Drosophila melanogaster: one gene and its partner. The protein of the gene in region 1 interacts with the protein of each later gene in a biochemical or structural test. Each region holds a gene or a part of one and is shown on either strand. Other genes may lie near its edges. The genes, in order: Sbf and Rab21.

The links.
Region 2: of the proteins of Sbf (region 1) and Rab21, one has a biochemical effect on the other in vitro, tested with the Drosophila melanogaster proteins (one study listed by BioGRID).

What each region holds. Positions count from the first base shown.
Region 1 is NT_033777.3:11,792,546-11,799,727, reverse strand, and holds the start of Sbf (SET domain binding factor), read left to right. Parts: upstream 1-2,779; 5' UTR 2,780-2,884; intron 2,885-3,233; 5' UTR 3,234-3,292; coding exon 3,293-3,347; intron 3,348-3,418; coding exon 3,419-3,522; intron 3,523-3,591; coding exon 3,592-3,912; intron 3,913-3,971; coding exon 3,972-6,007; intron 6,008-6,073; coding exon 6,074-7,182. Other genes in the region: ClC-a (chloride channel-a), read left to right, coding at 1-737, 831-875, 964-999, 1,185-1,454, 1,581-1,610, 1,689-1,922, 1,981-2,286.
Region 2 is NC_004354.4:23,010,778-23,016,407, forward strand, and holds Rab21 (Rab21), read right to left. Parts: upstream 2,633-5,630; 5' UTR 2,518-2,632; intron 2,488-2,517; exon of another isoform or gene 2,359-2,487; 5' UTR 2,330-2,358; coding exon 2,266-2,329; exon of another isoform or gene 2,205-2,265; coding exon 1,600-2,204; 3' UTR 1,363-1,599; downstream 1-1,362. Other genes in the region: Coa7 (cytochrome c oxidase assembly factor 7), read left to right, coding at 2,805-2,904, 3,042-3,331, 3,676-4,086.

The DNA of each region.
Region 1 (7,182 bases):
CCTACCTGCCGGATCTGCTGCCCTCCAGTTCCGGGATGTACAGCATATTCGTCGAGGACTTTATGGTGCGGGATGTAAAGTACATATGGCACGGCATCTCGTATCAGAAGCTCAAAGAAGTCCTCAAGCTGAACAAGACGCTGAGATCCTTGCCACTGGTGGACAGCCCGGACAACATGATCCTGCTGGGTTCCGTGCAGCGGTACGAGCTGATCAAAATGATCGAGAAGCACATTGGACGCGAGAAGCGAATGGAGGTGGCCCAGAAGTGGCAGAAGGAGGCTCAGGAAAGAGCCCTCGAGGAGGAGAAGAAGAAACAGGAAGTGGAGCTCAAGATGCGGCGACCATCTCGATTCGAGGTCCTTCCAGCTCCGGATATTCTCAGTTTACGCCAGATTGCCAACGACGAAATGCTGCCGCCCAAGAAAAGGGCGGAGACAATGCACGGTTCGCTGGCGCCCAGGAAGTCCATTTTGAAGAAGACCAACTCCTTCAACCTGAAGACCTACGCGCAGCCCATGGGGCACAGTCCCAGCATCACGCCCTACACCACGATCACCGGCAATTCCGAGTTCCGCATTCGCTCAGCCTTCGAGGCCATATTTAAGAAGTCCACCACGCTCCAGGACGTACAGCCGGATCCGGAAACGGGTTCCCTCTCCCCGGCGGCAAGCAACCACGAGGTGGAGGTGCCGCGAACTCCTAGCACTCCCGGTGTTTCCAAAAAGGTTCAGCTGGTAGGTGCATATTTTCTATTTACCGCATAAAAATTGGGTTTTGGGTTATCTAAGTTGCTGAGTAAACCGGAAGAGGAAATCTCTCTTTTCAAGCCTGCACAAAGTAATTGGGATTTTGTAACAGATCAAATTATGCTGGTAAGTTACTCACTAACAACATTCATATCATATCATTTCATTCATTTTCTCGGAATATGTGTGTTTAACTTACTTTAATATCTGCAAGCAAGTAAACCCTATTTCAACGGAATCAAATAAAATGGTAAGCCTTAAAACGAAGTAAAATTATAAAATAAGGGTAGTATCCACGCATGAAGTAGTACTATGGGCCTTTTTGAAGTAGAAGAAATACTTAATAATTTCAGTGGAAGATTGAAGTAGAGTATTGCCAGTTTAAAATATCTATCTATACATAATTTTGTAATCTCAAGATTAATGTTTAAAAAGCCTGCCGAGAAAGATTTCACGGATAAAGCATTATCAAATAATGGAGATAGTTCAAAGCAATCACCGAGCATTAAATTCAAAGCAAATAAAGTGGCAGATGTAAATAGATCTCCTCAGACGGCCAAGAGGTGCTCGAAAATAAGGTTTGCTAACGAAGTTGGAGTAAATGGTTCGCCCACTCGAACGAAATGTAAAATAAAACCAGAAAATGTATTGGGTTACTCTATAGAGGATGTGGATGAAACAACAAATCCAGAATCGCTGGCTGAGGTATGTAAAACTGATGCAAACTTTTGATTAATATCTATTGTCAACGAGCTTACAACGCATTATGAATCATTAACTCTCAAAGTTAACATACACATTTTCTCTCCTATCTTGTAAATCCCAAATAAGAGCATTCAAAAGCCGAAGTCGGTGCGATTGGTACGTTTAGAATATTTTAATTACATAACCCCTTATTTCAATCAAGATATAATATCTACCGATTTGATTGATTTACAGCCCAGGGAACGTGTTATTGACATGTCACCGGAGGATCAGAAGCAATGGGAGCTCGAGGAAATGTTGAAGCCCATCGATTTGCAGAAGGCCAATGTCCACATCGATCCCTCGCCATTTCAGCTGGTGGAACGCACCTCCATACTCAAGGTTCACTCGTTGTTTTCCATGGTGGGTATTAACCACGCCTATGTCACCAAAATCGGAAGACTTGTTGGTGTCGTGGGACTCAAAGAAGTAAGTCTTGTTTGATATCCTTGATGATTATAACAATAACACATGTTTTATTAAACAGTTGCGAAAAGCCATCGAGGACATTAATAGCAATAGTTTCGTGCCCCCCACACGGGATGAGGATGCGGATGAGAAGCCGGCGGTGGAGAAACCTCTGCTGTCGACGAACTCTAGTGATAAGGCCGTGGACATGACCGTCACCTCCATGGACTCGGCACTATCCAATTCCGAGAACTGTTCGGACATTGAAATGGAGCACATAAAGCACACGGATAAGGGCACTGTATCGCTCACCATGCCGCCACAGGAATCTAAGCAAAGTCCATCGGCGGACAAAAGTAACACAGAAAACGGAAATCATGCTTGAAACAAGATGATCGGCCATCATAATAGTTAATACGATACGTATACGTAATATGTTTGTAAAGATCAGCTAAACACATCTATCTTAAGTTACGTCTTACACGAGTTAGTCATCAATGTTATTATGTATTTATATCTCGTTAGTTCATAATGTGAAAAATATCGTGATTTATATTTAAGTTGAAAAGAAAATCAAGTCACCAACGAAGGCTGCGTTTGATTTTTATTTATATACTGGGGAGTATTAATGTAGTATACAAGTTTCCTATTTTTCCAACAGATTAATTATATTATAATTTCCCCAAAATTGTTTAATGAATATTTAAGGCTAAGTGGAAATTAATTTTGCCATTTTCCAATTGATCTTTTAAGTTCGCGCCGATTAATTTGTAGCGCAGTCCGAAACTATCGATACATTCAAAGCGCCAATCAAATATCGACACATTCAATCAGCTGATGCAGAAAGTGTTGGATAATTCGTGAAAATTATTGTGTATTGCATCTATCTTTTTCTATGCGAACTTAAAAATAATTATTATAGCCCCGAATTCTTTGAGATTTGCTGGCAGTTAGCGGGGATTTCGGCTGCAGCCGGCTGCGAGGTGTGTGCGCGGATATATATATATAGATTGGCCAGTCCGATTCCCGGCGAACGATCCCACTTTGCGTGGCGGGGTGTGGTTAAAGAAAAAAGAGTGAAGACCAAGACTCGTAAAGCCTGAAAAACGCCTCCGGGCGCTATAGACAATACAATAACAATTCGGCCCCTCGATCTCCGTGGAGCTAATCATTTATGCCGAGCGCAGAGACGGAGCCTAATTAGCATATCAAATTGGATGACGGCACTGGCGAATAGAATCCATCTGCCGCTGTCCCCTGCTACAAGAACGCAACAGAACAAAAACAAAAAAAAAATCAAAATAAAACATCTTCAACTCTTTGTTCTCCTAGATTTGGCTAGTAAAGAGCCGTAGGATCCTAGACGACTGGCCGGCTATGTGGTGGGCAAGATGTCCCGGCTCGCTGATTACTTCGTAATAGTCGGCTACGACAGTGATAAGGAGAGTGAGTACATCCACATGCCCATCAGCCATAATTAGCAATTCTCTGACATTCAACAATTTCCCTTTTCCCAGAAACTGCCAGCAATGTGGGCGGCCAGCCGACGTGCGGCAAGATCGTTCAGCGCTTTCCCGAGAAAGATTGGCCGGACACTCCGTTTATCGAGGGCATTGAATGGGTGGGTGCGCTTGAAACATTCCTCACTTAATTCGAAGCATATCTGAATTTTAACTTATCATTCCGACAGTTCTGCCAGCCGCTCGGCTGGAGTTTATCGTACGAGAAGCAGGAGCCCAAGTTCTTCGTCTCTGTGCTGACGGACATCGATGCCAACAAGCACTACTGCGCCTGCCTCAGCTTTCATGAGACGGTGGCCATCACACAGACGCGCAGCGTCGACGACGAGGATGAGACCATCGGCAGCAGCAGGCTGCTGGGAGCCACACCCTCATCGATGGATGGCATCACAACGACATCCACGCCGGCTTCCATTACGCACCACAGCGTCATGTATGCACCAAAGTGTCTGGTGCTTATATCGCGTTTGGACTGTGCCGAGACCTTTAAAGTGAGTTTAAAAGTCAGACCACCTAAGATACTAAATTAAGCCATTATCTTAATTTACAGAATTGTCTCGGCACCATATACACGGTGTACATTGAGAACCTGGCGTATGGATTGGAGACACTCATAGGAAACATTCTGGGCTGCATCCAAGTTCCTCCAGCGGGTGGACCGCAGGTGCGCTTCTCTATAGGAGCAGGAGACAAGCAGTCGCTCCAGCCTCCGCAGAGCTCCTCCCTGCCCACGACTGGAAGTGGAGTCCACTTCCTCTTCAAGCAGCTGGGCATCAAGAATGTGCTGATACTGCTTTGCTCCGTGATGACAGAGAACAAGATACTGTTTCTTTCTAAGTGTTATTGGCACCTGACGGACAGCTGCAGAGCTTTGGTGGCATTGATGTATCCCTTTCGGTATACTCATGTTTATATACCAATTCTGCCGGCTCCACTCACGGAAGTGTTATCCACACCTACGCCATTTATTATGGGCATACATAGCTCACTGCAAACTGAGATTACGGATTTACTGGATGTTATTGTGGTGGATTTGGATGGCGGCCTCGTTACCATTCCCGAGTCGCTGACGCCGCCTGTTCCTATTCTTCCATCACCGCTGTGGGAACAGACCCAGGACCTGCTCAGCATGATCCTGTTTCCAAACCTGGCGCAGGCCGATCTGGCGTTTCCCACATTAGAGCGGCCTTCAGCTATTGCTAAGACTGACGCCCAGATTGATAAGGAACTTCGCGCCATATTCATGCGCCTTTTCGCTCAGCTGCTGCAGGGATATCGCTCCTGCCTGACTATCATTCGGATCCACCCAAAGCCGGTGATCACCTTCCATAAGGCAGGATTTCTCGGCGCCCGCGATCTGATAGAGAGCGAATTCCTGTTTAGGGTGCTGGACAGCATGTTTTTCACGACGTTTGTCAACGAACGAGGCCCTCCCTGGCGATCCTCCGATGCCTGGGATGAGCTCTACAGCTCAATGAACGAACTGCTCAAATCGGAGGCGCAGAATCGAAATCTCGTAGGTAGAACTCAAAGATTCAAGGGATATTTTAATTTTACCTTTCCTTCCTACTTTCAGATACTCACACATATCCAGGAATTGGGACGAGTTCTATATGAAAATGAGGGCACTCTGGCTCACATCAGCTATGCCCAAAAAGTACTGCGTCCGCCGGAAGGCGCATTCCAGCGTATTCATCAACCAGCCTTTCCGCGCATAAGTTCGGAAAAGGTTGAGCTTATCATACAGGAAGGGATACGAAAGAACGGAGTGCCACAACGCTTTCATGTAACACGTAATCAGCACCGTATCATTCCGATGGGACCCAGGTTACCCGAGGCATTAGATGTGCGTCCCAATGTCCAAAACTCGGCTAGGCGACTGGAGGTGCTGCGGATCTGTGTGTCATACATCTTTGAGAATCGAATTACAGATGCCAGAAAACTGCTGCCGGCTGTGATGCGCACCCTAATGCATCGGGATGCGCGCTTGATCTTGTGCCGCGAGTTCTTTGGATATGTGCACGGCAACAAGGCAGTTCTGGACCATCAACAGTTTGAATTAGTTGTGCGATTCATGAACAAGGCGCTGCAAAAATCATCCGGCATTGATGAGTACACAGTGGCTGCGGCTCTGCTGCCCATGTCCACAATCTTCTGCCGTAAGCTCTCGACTGGAGTAGTGCAATTTGCGTACACAGAGATACAGGATCACGCCATCTGGAAAAACCTGCAATTTTGGGAGTCTACTTTCTTTCAGGATGTCCAAGGTCAAATAAAGGCGTTGTATCTGCTTCACCGACGTCAGAACGAGCATCAAAAGGAGGCCAACTGTGTGCTGGACGAAGTTCCTCTAGAGGAGCCCACGGCGCTTGAAATTACAGCCGAGCAGCTGCGCAAAAGTCCCAACATCGAGGAGGAGAAAAAAGCCGAGCTGGCCAAATCGGAGGAGTCAACTTTGTACAGCCAGGCAATTCACTTTGCGAACCGTATGGTTTCCCTGCTAATTCCACTGGATGTCAATGTGGATGCAGCCAGTAAGCCGAAACCGGCGTTTCGTCTAGAGGAAAATCAGAGTGTTTCCAATAGGTAATACGAGATAAGTTTCTAACTTTGATTTTATATTTATATATGATTTCAATTATTAAATTACAGTATTATGGGCTCACACAGCCTAAGCGAACATTCCGACGAAGGATTCGAGGAGAACAATGCTTTGGAAATAGGTGTCACGGTTGGGAAAACCATTTCACGCTTCATTGACTGCGTTTGTACCGAAGGTGGAGTGACCTCCGAGCATATACGCAATTTGCATGACATGGTACCGGGAGTTGTGCATATGCACATCGAGTCCCTGGAACCGGTATATCTGGAGGCTAAGCGTCATCCGCACGTGCAGAAGCCCAAAATTCAAACGCCATGCCTGCTGCCAGGGGAGGACCTGGTGACAGACCACCTGCGTTGCTTCCTTATGCCGGATGGACGCGAAGATGAAACCCAGTGCCTGATACCCGCCGAGGGAGCTCTTTTCCTCACCAACTACCGTGTGATTTTTAAGGGTTCACCTTGCGATCCCCTCTTCTGTGAGCAGGTGATTGTTCGCACTTTTCCGATTGCCTCCCTGCTAAAGGAGAAAAAGATATCGGTGCTGTACCTGGCTCATCTGGATCAAACGCTGACAGAAGGACTGCAGCTGCGTTCCAGTAGCTTTCAACTGATCAAGGTCGCTTTTGATCCTGAAGTAACTCCCGAGCAGATTGAGAGCTTTAGAAAGATATTGAGCAAAGCGCGGCATCCGTTTGATGAGTTTGAGTACTTCGCGTTTCAATCATACGGCACCATGCTCCAGGGAGTGGCTCCGTTGAAAACCAAGGAGAAATATTCCACCTTAAAGGGCTTTGCCAAAAAAACACTGCTCCGCGGGGCCAAAAAGGCTGGATTCAAGCAGAAGCAGCAGACCAAGCGCAAACTAGTTTCTGATTATGATTACGGAAGTGCAGATGCGCAGGAAACACAGTCCATCGACGATGAACTGGAAGATGGAGATGAGTTTGAAACCCAAAACAATGCCATGCCCAGATTGCTAACAACAAAGGATGTCGAACGGATGCGAGAAAGGAGCTATGTGCAGGACTGGAAGCGACTCGGGTTCGATGCGGAATCACAGCGTGGTTTCCGTATAAGCAATGCCAATACCAGTTACGCCACCTGCCGCTCCTATCCGGCTATAATTGTGGCCCCTGTGCAGTGCAGTGACGCGGCAA
Region 2 (5,630 bases), on another chromosome or scaffold:
TTACGAATTATATACAATTGATAGAGACACACAAAATTAACATTCCCCACGGCATAAGTACGCTTGATAAATACCGATTTAAACACCTTATATAAATAGCTGAGTGCAACTTGTTGGCCGCCTTCACTGTACCAATAGCCGTAGTTCCCTGGCGAAAGGTGCGAACCCGATAAGGCAGTCCATTATTGATTGCCGGTCCGATATGTTCTTGAAACCCAACTACCAAACATACATAGCTCACACTCCACCCTGGCTGGAAAAACATTGGGCTAGATTAGAGATATCGTGCCCTGTAGCTCCACCTCCTGGAATCAAACTTCTGGCTCTCGCACTTCTCACATGGCCCAGGCAGCGCTTCAGGAACCGAGTTAGAAGAGACAGGACTACTAACTGAAAGCTAAATGGAGCTCAGAATCTGAGGTCGCAAATCTGCGAAATCTGCTGGACATTCGACTCTGGTGTAGGGACGCGAATTTCATCATTTCTCTGGCATATATATATGTATATAGATATTGGGGAATAAAATTAGAAGAAATTGTTTGATTGTTTAAAATATGGGCGTGACCGTTTTGGGTGTTTTGTAGGTGTAAGGAGGGGCGTGGCAAAAGTGTTTTTGGTATACCGACAGAAATTGGTAAAACAAACAATAAAACCAAGAAAAATCAAAACATTTTTCAAAAGTGTGGGCGTAGCAGTTTTGGGAGGCTTGTGGGCGTTAGAGTGGGCTTGGCAGCATATGGCCAACAATCTCGCGAGGCATCTATGTATATCTCTAGGACAGACGGACATGTCTAGATCGCCTCAGCTATTGATTCTGATTAAGAATATATGTATATACCTCATATAGTCGAAAACGCTTCTTTCAGCCTGTTGTTCTGTTCTGTTACATACTTTTCAACGAATCTAGTATATAGTATATCTAGTATATACACCACGAGTAACGGTTATAAAATGGAAGACTATCATATATGTACATACATAGCCCGAATATTATAGATTGGATATATTCTTAAATGGGTAAATACATACATATATGTTCGTTCACTTTTTGTTATAACAAAATAAAACTAGAATACTTATATATGTAACTAATTGTAGCCGAAAACAGTTTTGAAATTGGATTTCAATTAATTTCATTAATAGGAGAAGCTGTTGCGATGATATGATCGTTACATAAAATTATGAAAAAATATATAAAAACTTTATGTATTGTCTTCTATTGCACCATATATTTAAAGTGCCGTAAACTGTAATCTTGGTGCGGTTTAAAATTAATCACCTATCGCCTTGCAGAGCCATTAGCACCTCAACTGATAACGATGATTCAGCCCGGCCCCCAAAAAGCCTCAAAACAAGATAAGTGCAAGTACAAGATTGTTTATTACTGGGCGCTCAGGAAGGGCAAGAAAATCGAATGAAATACATATTTATATTTATTAATAAACAAAAATGTGTGAGGATTTTAAAGATCCATAATAGGGAATAATAAAAATACGCGTATTTATATTTATATCTATCTATGTATAATATATACACAAGATCAACATCGGTTAAAGGTCTACTATTTTATAGTTATGATTACTATCACAATGGGAACGGCTAAATGCCGCAACAGGACCGCTGGCCCGCAGGATCTCCGGGATCCGGGGCCTCCGAGTCATCGGAGTTGTTAAGGTTATCCGTATCCGGATTCTGGAGGCGAAGTGGACTCGCATCCGGTTGCCGTTGGCTCAACTGCTCCAGCATCAGCTGGGTCAGGAGCTCGAAGAGCTCAGCCACCCCCTCGTTCTCCTTGGCCGAAGTTTCTACATATTGAGCGCCAACCGTGCGCGCATATTGAAGGGCCTCATCGTGCGTTACTGCTCGCTGTTCCTCCAAATCAGTCTTGTTGCCGACGATTATTAAGGCAATCTCCGTGCCGCGCATTTGCCGGAGCTCCCGCACCCAGGATTTGACCTTCTGGAACGAGTCTCGGTCCGTTATGTCATAGACGAGCAGGGCGCCATCGGAGCCGCGATAGTAGATGGGTCCCAGGGCGTGGAACCGCTCCTGACCAGCCGTGTCCCAAATATTCAACTGCGCCCTTCTCCCATCCTCCAGGGACATCTTGCGGCTGACAAAGGAAGCCTGCAGGGTGCTTAGGTGCTGGGCATTGAACCGGTCTTCCATGTAGCGCAGCACCAGCGACGTCTTGCCCACACAACCTACAATTAAGGGGTTAAAGCTTTCAGGAACTAATTAGGTTTGTTTAGCTGCTAAACGTACCTTCGCCCAGCAGCACCGCCTTGAAATTAAGCGTGGGGCCGTTCCTCGTTCTGCTCGAGCTCATTGTGGTTTCCCAATAGCTAGGTGTCCTACCTTGATACGCATCAGTTTTCAGAGGACACGGAAAAACAAAAAAAAAACAAGAGGTAATCGAAAAGATTAGGTTTTTACGAGACCGCCAGTGTGGCTGTCTACCAGCACTATTGTAATGGCACTCGGCGATAAATGTTGAATAAGCGAGAAGTCACATACGTATCTGGCCACACTGCGGCCTCAAGCAAGGCCGAGAACTCAATGTCGCCGCAGTCATACATGAAAGATAGAAAATACAATTAAGCGATTTTAAATTAAACCATGTTTTAATTATGAGCAAAATATCGATGCATAGCCTAACATCGATATCAATAAAACCATCGAATGTATGCAGTATGGTGTCGATGAATCGATATTTTGCACGTTACTAACACTGAAGCACGCAGGGGTCCGGACGAAGCATAACATAATAATTTTTGGTTGTTATCTATTAAAAATTGCTGACCATGGCCTATGACTTGAAGAAGGAGTCAGACGTGAAGGAGTACGTAGAAAAGCTGGGCGTGGAATATCGATTCGGGTGCTATTCCGAGAAGAAGCCGGAAGGTGAGTGCGGCGGCGGCAGCGATAGCGACGGCGGCAAAAACAATTGAGGTCTATAACCTCCGATGTGCGGGAGGACAATTCGCGGGGCTTGAAGACATTGCATTTATGAGATAGCTAACTGGCGTTCTGCATTGCAGCGTGCCACTTGCTGGGCGACTACTTGGAGGGCATCAAGAAAGACTTTGAAAAGGCCTCCAAGGTGTACAAGTCGACTTGCGACGACTATGGTTACGCAAAGTCCTGCTACAAATACGGCAACTACAGTTTCCTTGGAAAAGGCAAGAGCGGTAGCAAGGGGAATCCACAAGTGGCCTACGAGTACTACGAGAAGGGCTGTAACTTAAACGACTCGGACGCCTGTCTTCACTCCGGCCTGCTGCTCGTTTCAAAGTCCATGCCTAGGGAGATCGACTGGAATGTGCCCAAGGTAAAGGTGTCGTATGGCGATCACGGTCCCAAGCCTTCAATAAAAGGCTAGCTCTTGGAACTGTTCAATTTGCTTAAAGTGCAACTATGTGCTGCAGTACATTCTCTCATTTGCCCCACCTGTTTCTCATTTGATCCTTGAAATCATAAGTCATTCGTATCGTGTCCAGATAATTGAACGTTTAATTGTAATTTTCTGATTATGTTCCAATGGATGTATAGACATATGTATGAATATAGTTTAGTTTGATCCAATTTAAAACTGTTCAATATGACCCCAGCAGAAAAGTGTTTAAATTTTATTTGATTTTGTGATTTGACATTATAATTTTACAACACCCGCAGGGCCTGGAGTTTCTGACCAAAAGCTGCGACTTGAACAACGCCACTGCCTGCTTTTATCTCTCCGGGATGCACATCTCGGGCGTGCAAAAGAAGGCGGATCAGAGTGCTGTCACTGCATCCTCCGGAAGTGGTACATCATCACCCCCCGCCGGACAACCGCCTTTAAAGGACTCCGACTATATTGTTCTAAAAGACATGAAGAAGGCTTTCCAGTTTGCCCACAAGGCTTGCGAGCTTCGCAATATGTATGCGTGTGCCAATCTTAGCCAGATGTACGCCCGGGGCGATGGGATCGAGAAGAACGAAAAGGAAGCGGAGAAGTACAAGAAGCTGGCCCTAGAAATGCAGGACGAGGTGAAGAAGCAGCATGATACGTTAGGGTTCCAGCAGGGCGTGGGCATGCCTAATTGATAATGCTTGATTCCTGATATTATCTGCTGCTACTGTTTTTAGACCTTGCTTCAGGTCAGGTCAGGTTTTTCTTTACCTTCTAGCCCTTTTCAGTAATTTTCAGTCAGTCTAATTTTGGTAGTTAAGCTAACTAACTTGTGTTTGAGATTTCTGTGTACATAGCTGGCACTTGCATGCGAAAGAGCGAGAAAGAGAAAATAAGTAACAATGGAAATTCCTAGATTTAATTGTTAAAGTTATTAAGTGATGATGAACCCTTTAAAAATTTTGTTGATACCTTATATGAATATACAAACAAGTCTTACCAAAAAAGTAGACAAAAATCTTCAGTTAATTGTGTTTTAGTTACGGTTGCTTGTGCACAAACTGTTGTTCTAATATTAATGTAAGAACCAGTACATTTTTCTGATCAGAATCGCCTGCTAATCCGACAGCCTCATTTTTTTTTTAAATCTAGCACATTATAACGTAATTAATCGTCTTGTAATATCTGCATGTCCTTTCCTCGAATACCTTCTCATGAAGATGTGCACTACATTCGTTCTAAAGAATGTAAAAGGAAAAATAATGTGATTCTGCTTCGTCCACAAGTCTAAAAAACTATTGCGTTTCTACACATACAAGTCTTTCAGGCGTAAAGATGTCTTTATAAAACATTCCCAAAATATTTTAAATTTGCAGCTAGAATATAAGTCGGAATGGAATCATATATGTAGATATGTAGCTGAGAGAAATAGTCGAAACCTTCGGGGTTTTTGATCAAAAAGTTATTTTTGGTTTATACAGTATATTAAATTTCGGCTGGAACTGGATCGAAATTGCTATATCTGCTTTTGGCTGGACCTAAATGAAAATTGGTCTACTTATCATATACATAGCTGCCATGGTAATAGTCGCACGAGAAATCCGAATTTCAAATTATTAAGGTAACTTAAGTTAAAGTTTAAAACAAATGTTCTTCAAACAATTTATTAAAATATGTGTATAAAATATTCGATTTTCTTTTCAAATTTCATTGGGATACTATACCAAAACGGTTTGTAGCGTTCGGTTAATGTCAGAGGCCATAAACTATTTAAGCATAACAATAGCTATTTCCTTTTAGAACCATTACTGCTCAAAGTATGAGGTATTCTGGTATTACTACCAACCAATCAAACACCTTAAATGCCTTTTTTAAAATTTTTATGTTAAACAAAAACAGCTTCTAGCAAGGTGGTAAAAATTTATTTTTCCTGGTAGCCAAAAATTCTAAAACAATAAGTACAATAATACCCAATTATTTGTCTATTAAAGAAACATTGGTTAAATGTAATTGTCATGATTTGTTTTCGAGAAATGGGCAAGATTTTGTTAACGGAAAACAATAATATTTTAAGCATATTAAAAAAAATTGTAACAAAAGTATTGACACAGGCGTCCCCGCCAAAGGAATAGGCAACACTTCGCAAAAATGTGGCTGTGATGAACTTTATGGGACCTCACAGACTCAAACTGTGTGCAAGTACTAAAATATCCCTGGTACGAAGGCCTTTTAGTGCCAT